Macaca fascicularis: one gene and its partner. The protein of the gene in region 1 interacts with the protein of each later gene in a pairwise test. Links are inferred from orthologs where the notes say so. Each region holds a gene or a part of one and is shown in the gene's direction. Other genes may lie near its edges. The genes, in order: DAPP1 and FXN.

Region 1 (3,919 bases):
CACTGGCAACCAGCGTTACCCAGGGTCTCACAGTGGTAATAGGGAGGAACATGAAGGATAGAACCGTGTGAGGTGAACAGCAGCCTCTTGCAATCATCTAGTCCTTTAGGAACAGCTCTGCTGTGCTGCTAGTCCTCAGGCCTCTGTAACTGTGAGAACAAGTTACAGAGCACCCTGGTGAGTGCTGAGTGAGTCAGGGAGTAGAGATAAGAAGAAATAGAGAGAAAGCGAGAGGGAGAGAGAGACCTGTAGGTACACAGAAAAGGCAGGAAGCAACGTATGTCCTTGACTCATTTGATACTGCACTTTGTCCTACTTCCCAAGGATTCAGTCACCGCCATTTACCTTTAGCATTGCAGGCAGATAGAATCCCCCTCTACATATGAATCTGGGCACAAAGCCATGCAGGTGTGAGTAAGCCCATGAAGAAAGTGGCGCTCAAAGACTCCAGGAGTTCAGGCCAGGCACAGTGGCTCATGCCTGTAAGCCCAGCACTTTGGGAGGGTGAGATGGGTGGATCACCTGAGGGTGAAACCCCATCTCTACAAAAATACAAAAATTAGCTGAGCATGATGGTGGGTGCCTGTAATCCCAGCTACTTGGGAGGCTGAGACAGGAGAATCACCTGAACCCCGGGAGGCGGAGGTTGTAGTGATCTCAGATCACGCCATTGCACTCCAGACTGGGTGACAGAGCGAGACTCTGTCTCAAAAAAAAAAAAAAAAAAAAAAAAAAGAAGAAAAAAAAGACTGCAAGAGTTCTAATATGCCCCATTAGGTGGGCACCAGAATGGCCCCTTGTAACTTTTTCCTACCTTCTTCTCTCCTAATTCTTCCATGGAGGAAACAATAATTATCTCTGAATCATCCCTATTCAGAGAATCGAGGATATATTAGAAGATCTGGGTAAACAAGCACAAATATTACAAAAGTACTAAAACAGCAAACTTCAGGGTTGAACTTGTGGTTTGCTTCTGTTTTTTCTACCCACTCTAAAGGTGTTCCTGATATAGAAGCTTCCTCAGTGTTCCCTGTGTTGGTGTGTAAGACAGAAAGAAGATTGGTAAAAGAGTGCACTCATCCTCCCCTACAAACCAGAGGCTGATCGCATTAGGGAAAAGCTAGGGTTTGGCCTCACACAAGCAGTTTGCACTGTTGTCCAATCCCAGGTGGGGTGACCGCCTCTTCATTTCCTTTGATAGCAACTGCCTGTTGCGTGATGCAGTGTGGGTGTCCTCAGAGGTAACTACCTAAGTTTGCATACTTCCTCACTGACAGAACACTCCTGCCAGTGCCTCCAGGCCAGGGTGGTGGTATTGGTGGGAGGAGTAAGTAACCAAGTTTCACTTCCTTGCCTTGGAGACTCAGAGCCACAGCGGGCTGCTGTCTCACAGAGGGAGAGGGTGGCAGGAGCAGCCGAGTTGTCTCTCTCTGCCTCTGTGAAGGGCGCGAATGGGCAGAGCAGAACTTCTAGAAGGGAAGATGAGCACCCAGGATCCCTCAGATCTGTGGAGCAGATCCGATGGAGAAGCTGAGCTGCTGCAGGACTTGGGGTAAGGGAGCAGATCTCCTTTCAAAGTGCCTAGTGGGTGGACATTGACTCCGCACTCCCACCTTCATGCTTTGGTTAATGACTATCTTCAGAGCCTTGTTGCCCTCTGCCACTTCAACTGTTTATTTTTTTCCACTTTATTCATTTGTATCTGTTAAGTATCTTCCTGTTTGGGGCTAATTCCATTGCAAAAGCCTGCATTATTTTTCTAGATGTGAAAACAAGTAGGTTGAGAAAATAGAGAAAAAAATCAAATGCTGGACATTCTTTGAGAAGAGGGACAGAATTGGGATATAGAGGTGACGTTGCCTGACTTCCTTGATGTTGCTCTGGTTTGTGAATAAATGTGTTGTTCAAGAGTTTCCAGCACTGACCCAGGGACAGTAAAAGGACCATGTTGCTGGTAAGATAAACAGAAAGCCTACCCTACTGTAAGGGAGGGGGACTTTTTCAAAATATAGAGAATGAGGAAGTTTCTGCAGTAGTCTCGCTTGTATGTTTCTTTCTCCTGATACTGCATTTGGGAGTTTTATATTTTATGTATGTCCAGAGGGCCAACTTTGAGCCTTTAAATACCAACAATCCACGAAGAGGATAAAATTTCTTCTTCAAACAGGTAAGCATAGGTAGGTGGAGTCATTGGAGCTCTGTCTTTGAGAAGTGACCCAGATGACAACTCATCCGGGTATTTAATAAAAGAAGCAAGTATTACACAAGAGAGGAATTGGGGGTTTCCTAGAGAAACTGAACCTTCTGCCTAATGCACTGGGAATATCCCAATGAGGGTGGCTTTGGCACCTGTGCATGAGGAGAGGTAAAACCTGTACCTTCTGCCTGAGTAAATAGCTCTAAATCTTCATAACAATCCAATGACATGGGAGCTGTTGTCATCTTCATCTTACAAAGGATGAAAACAAGCACCAAACAGGTTTGAATAACTTGCTTGCTAGTCACACATCAATTACATAGCAAAGCTGGGCATCCAACCTGCCACGGGTTATGTCCTAAACCGAAGAAAAACCAAAATAGAATTGAAACCTCTCTGTGTTAACGCTGCAGAGATTGTATCTTTTTATGTTGTATTGCTGTAAAAGTTTATCAGTAATTCCTGTCTTTAGATTATAAAACTGAGGTCTTGGAATTGAACTCTACTTTCATTTGGCGAATCAGATAAAACAACTGGAATTTTCATTAAAGAAAACTCCCCTTATTAGGAAGCCAGAGCTCTAGAATCTCTCTATCCCTCTAGAATGAATCCCCAAACAGAAGAGGCAAAGGGCCCTTCTGTGAGCATCCAGCACAGTTTTCACCAAGTCCAAATGCTGAGGCTGAACTGTGGCCCGCAGTGCCTTATTGAACCATTAAGCTACAACGCTTTACATGTTCTGTTAACTGATTCCCAGCCCACTGTAATAGAAAACCCCGAAGGAGGAGACAGAAGAATTTATTCAATTCTGATCGTTTAGTTAAACAAACAATCCTAGAACCCAGAGTCCGTGGTTGAGTACTGTGGGAACACGCTTAGATGACAAAGATGAATTAGATGCTGTCTCTGTGCCCCACCACGATGCCAATAGCAAGAAGCAACTACAGGTGAACCCCATGGGGGAAATAGGACTGTGGACTGTGTCTTTCTTCCATGTGCAAAGAATCGACATTGAATACAAAACCGAGTCACACCACTTCCCTGCAAAAAAAGGATATATTCATGTCCAGATTTCCCTATTTCAGAAGGCCTGAACAATTATTAAACATGAGGATGATTTCTATAGCAATGGGCAACCTGCAGGCATCTGGGAAAACTGCTCTACAGTCCAGGTTCTTGACCTTGGCTGTGCTCTGGAACAACCCAATGAGCTTTTTCTTTCTTTAAAAAAAAAAAAAAAAACAAAAACAAACAAACAAACAAAAAACACTCCTGACACCCAAACCACAGACTTGACAAATGATTTCAGTATCTCTGAGGGTGGGCGTTTTCTTGTCAAACTCTCCAAGTAATTCCAAAGTGAGACCCTAGGTTGATGATCACTGCATAGAATATGTATCCACCAAATGCATTAGGTAAATGTCTTATTTTTCGTTTTAAGTCTGTTGGGTATGTACTTGAATCTTAAAAGTACTAATAAATGTTGATATTTTGTTTATTGGCTTAGGGGCGTTTCGATTAGCAACTTTATTAAGGTGTATTTTACATATCATAAAATGTACCCGTTTCAAGTGTACAATTCAAGACTTTTGACTAACTTTACAGAGTGATACAACTGTCACCATAAATCAGTTTTGGTACATTTCCGTTCTCCCAAAAAGAACTCTCAGATGTAGGGCTTCTTTAAGCATACTCAATAGTGTGCTGGAAAAACACCTGGGG
Region 2 (3,819 bases), on another chromosome or scaffold:
CTCAGCCTCCCAAGCAGCTGGAGACTATAGGCGGGCACTACAAGCCCAGCTAATTTTTGTATTTTTAGTAGAGACAGGGTTTCACCATATTGTTCAGGCTGGTCTTGAACTCCTCACCTCAGGTGATCCGCCTGCCTCAGCCTCCCAGAGTGCTGGGATTACAGGCGTGAGCCACCACACCAGGCCCAGAATTACCATTAAAATTCAAAACACCGAACATACTCATTTAACCACAAGCCAGTCTTAGGTAAATCAGGACTGCCCAACAAACATATTCTGTCAGTCATTCATGATCTGAATTCTGGTTTATGAGGTCTGTTAAATGATGGTACACATAAAAGGGTCATAAGACATTTCTGTTTTGTAATAAATAAGACAGTGGATAATTATTATTCATTAGTAGCTTTTTTGAGATAAGCTACCAAGTCTGTCTTTTCTGCCTTCTTCTTAATGCTGGCAAAGATCATTTTTGTTCCAGGGATGTACTTCTTGGGATTCTCCAAATACTCCATCAGTGTGTCCTCTCCCCAGGTGATGCCTTTGTTCTTATTGGCGTCTGTGTAAGGGAATCCAACGGCCTGACCTGTCTTCTGCCCAAAAAGACAGACCATGGAGATTTGGCTCAGTTTTGTGCTTGCCCCCTTTTCCATAGTGTGGCACTGGGCATACTTCTGAACAAAAATCTTTCCCAACATCACCCGCATTAAATTCTCTCTTTCATCACTGGTGCTATGAGGGTTCCCGCCCTTTTACATTTTAACCATTCTGGTGGCATCTCACTGTGATTTTTTAATTTCCATTTTCCTGAAGATTAACAAAGTTGAACACCTTTTTATGTGTTCATTGGGCATTTGGGTATCTTTTATTTATGAAATCTATTCAAGTATTTTGCCCATTTTTATTTCTGTTGATTTTTCTTTTTCTTATTTATTTGTAGGTCTTCTTTTTTTTTTTTTTTCTTTGAGACAGAGTTTCACTCACTCTGTCACCCAGGGTAGAGTAGAGGGGGCAGTGGCGCGATCTCAGCTCACTGCAACCCCCGCCTCCCGGGTTCAAGTGATTCTCCTGCCTCAGGCCCCCGAGTAGCTGGGATTACAGGCACCTGCCACTACGCCCGGCTAATTTTTGCATTTTTAGTAGAGATGGAGTTTCACCATGTTGGCCAGGCTGATCTCGAACTCCTGACCTCAAGTGATCCACTCACCTCATCCATCCAAAGTGCTGGGATTACAGGCGTGAGCCACTGCGCCCAGCCGGTGTTCTTTATATATTCTGGATGAATCATTTTTCAGATGTATGTAATATGAATATTTTCTCCCACTTTGTGATTTGCCCAACAAAATTTTGGGCAAAAGCAAAATTTTAATAACAAAAGCAATGGAAGCATCCTTCATGTCCAGCTAAAGAGGACTGGGTAAATAACATAAAATTAAATATTATAAAAATCCATAGGTGCTAATATAGAACAATTTCTAAGACATAATTAAGTGAAAAAATGCAAATTTCTAAGACACAATTAAGTGAAAAAATGCAAAATGCTTCATTTGTATATTAAAAAGAATATGCAGATAGAAGGATACAGAAAAGACTTTTTTTTTTTTTTCTGAGACAGCCTCGCTCTGTCACCCAGGCTGGAGTACAGTGGCACGATGTCAGCTCACTGCAACTTCTGCCTCCTGGTTTCAAGCAATTCTTGTGCCTCACCATCACGAGTAGCTGGAACTACAAGGTCACGCCACCACACACAGCTAATTTATTATTATTATTATTATACTGTAAGTTCTGTGATACATGTGCAGAATGTGCAGGTTTATTACATAGATAAACGTGTGCCATGGTAGTTTGCTGCACCCATCAACCCGTCGTCTAGGCTTTAAGCCTCTCATGCATTAGATATTTGTCCTAATGTTCTCCCTCCCCTTGCCTCCCACCCCCCCGACAGGCCCCAGTGTATGATGTTCCCCTCCCTGTGTCCATGTGTTCTCATTGTTCAACTCCCACTTATGAGTGAGAACATGTGGTGTTTGGTTTTCTGTTCATGTGTTAGTTTGCTGAGAATGATGATTTCCAGCTTCATCCATGCCCCTGCAAAGGACATGATAATTTTTGTATTTTTAATAGATACAGGGTTTCGCCATATTGACCTGGCTAGTTTCGAACTCTTGACCTCAGGTGAGCCACCCACCTCGGCCTTCCAAAGTGCTGGGATTACAGGCATGAGCCACCTTGCCACCTGGCCCAGAAAGGACTATTATTTGTAGCTGCTTCTGGGAATGGGGGCTGCCTGCTTCTTTCTGTAACCCCTTCCGTGCTGTTTAAATTTTTACTTTGGGCCAGGCATGGTGCCTCACACCTGTAATCCTAACATTTCAAGAGGCCGAGGCATGTGGCTCACTTGATATCAGGAGTTTAGACCAGATACTGCACTCCAGCCTGGGTGACAGAGTGAGACTCCATCTAGAAAAAAAAAGGACAAACTTTTACTTTGTACATGTTATTTTCATCAGTTTAATGAACTTAAATAACAAGTGTGTAAATTTGGTATTAGTAGAATGGAAGTGTTTGGTAATCGTGTTTTGGGTTTTGTGTTTCCCCTGCAGCTCTCTAGATGACACCACCTATGAAAGACTAGCAGAGGAAACGCTGGACTCTTTAGCAGAGTTTTTTGAAGACCTTGCAGACAAGCCATACACCTTTGAGGACTATGATGTTTCCTTTGGGGTACCTCTTGACTTCTTTTATTTTTCTGTTTCCCCCTCTAAGAATTTTAGTTCACTAAAATGAAGAATTCCCCTGCAGCAGAGCTAAGCATCACGTAGCATGGAGTTGTGGGTGGGATTAAAAGACTAGGGCTCCGGGAGGCGGAGGTTGCAGTGAGCCGAAATCACGCCACTGCACTCCAGCCTGGGCTGCAAAGCGAGACTCCGTCTCAAATAAATAAATAAATAGATAAGACTAGGCTTCAAGCTGCAGCCCAGCTCTGCCAGGCTTGTTGTGACCCTGGGCAAGTCACTCAGCCTCTCTGAGCCTCATTTTCCGGCTTCAGTGGATACCCATGAAGACAAATCAGAGAGGGGCCAGAATGTGTGTTTGTTCGGCAGGCAGATGGAGCAAACAACAAACTAGACCTACAGTTCTTCAGCAGGGGTAAGAGAACTGCCCAGAAGTTATTCAGATTACAGAGAGTTGAGCCCTGCTCCTGTGAGACAGTGATGGGGTAGGTCGGGTGCATTCCTGAGAAGCATATTTTTGAAAAGCTCACCTGGGATTCTAATGTGTCTCTCTAGGTCTTGTTCCTAGAGATTTTGATTACTTGGACTGGGGTGTGGCATGGCCTGGGCAGGGCACTGGAATTTTTAAGCTCCACAGATAATTCCAGTGTGCAGCTAGTATGAGAACTTGCTTTTTTTTTTTTTTTTTTTTTTTTGAGGGAGTCTCACTCTGTCGCCCAGACTGGAGTGCAGTAGCGCAATCTCGGGTCACTGTGACCTCCGCTTCCTGGGTTCAGGCAATTCTCCTGCCTCAGCCTCCCGAGTAGCTGGGATTACAGGCATCTGCCACCATGCCCGGCTACTTTTTGTATTTTAGTAAAGATGGGGTTTCACCATGTTGGTTAGGCTGGTCTTGATCTCCTGACCTCAAATGGTCCACCCCCCTCAGCCTTCCAAAGTGTTGGGATTACAGGCATGAGCCACCAGATCAGGCTTGGTGTGAGAACTTCTGAGTTGGATGAAACATTAGCCCCAGATCCTAGAAGCCAGGGAAGTGCTGGTCTTTATCGACTGGCCACCAGGTGGCAGATTTGGGCAAGGGTCTGCC

Evidence for each region.
Region 2: the proteins of DAPP1 (region 1) and FXN interact in binary tests that used the Homo sapiens proteins (3 or more experiments, as listed by UniProt). The link is inferred for Macaca fascicularis from reciprocal best matches to the Homo sapiens genes DAPP1 and FXN.

What each region holds. Positions count from the first base shown.
Region 1 is NC_088379.1:105,455,072-105,458,990, forward strand, and holds the start of DAPP1 (dual adapter for phosphotyrosine and 3-phosphotyrosine and 3-phosphoinositide), read left to right. Parts: upstream 1-1,384; 5' UTR 1,385-1,451; coding exon 1,452-1,552; intron 1,553-3,919. UniProt on the Homo sapiens protein: May act as a B-cell-associated adapter that regulates B-cell antigen receptor (BCR)-signaling downstream of PI3K.
Region 2 is NC_088389.1:99,778,857-99,782,675, forward strand, and holds part of FXN (frataxin, mitochondrial), read left to right. Parts: intron 1-2,600; coding exon 2,601-2,721; intron 2,722-3,819.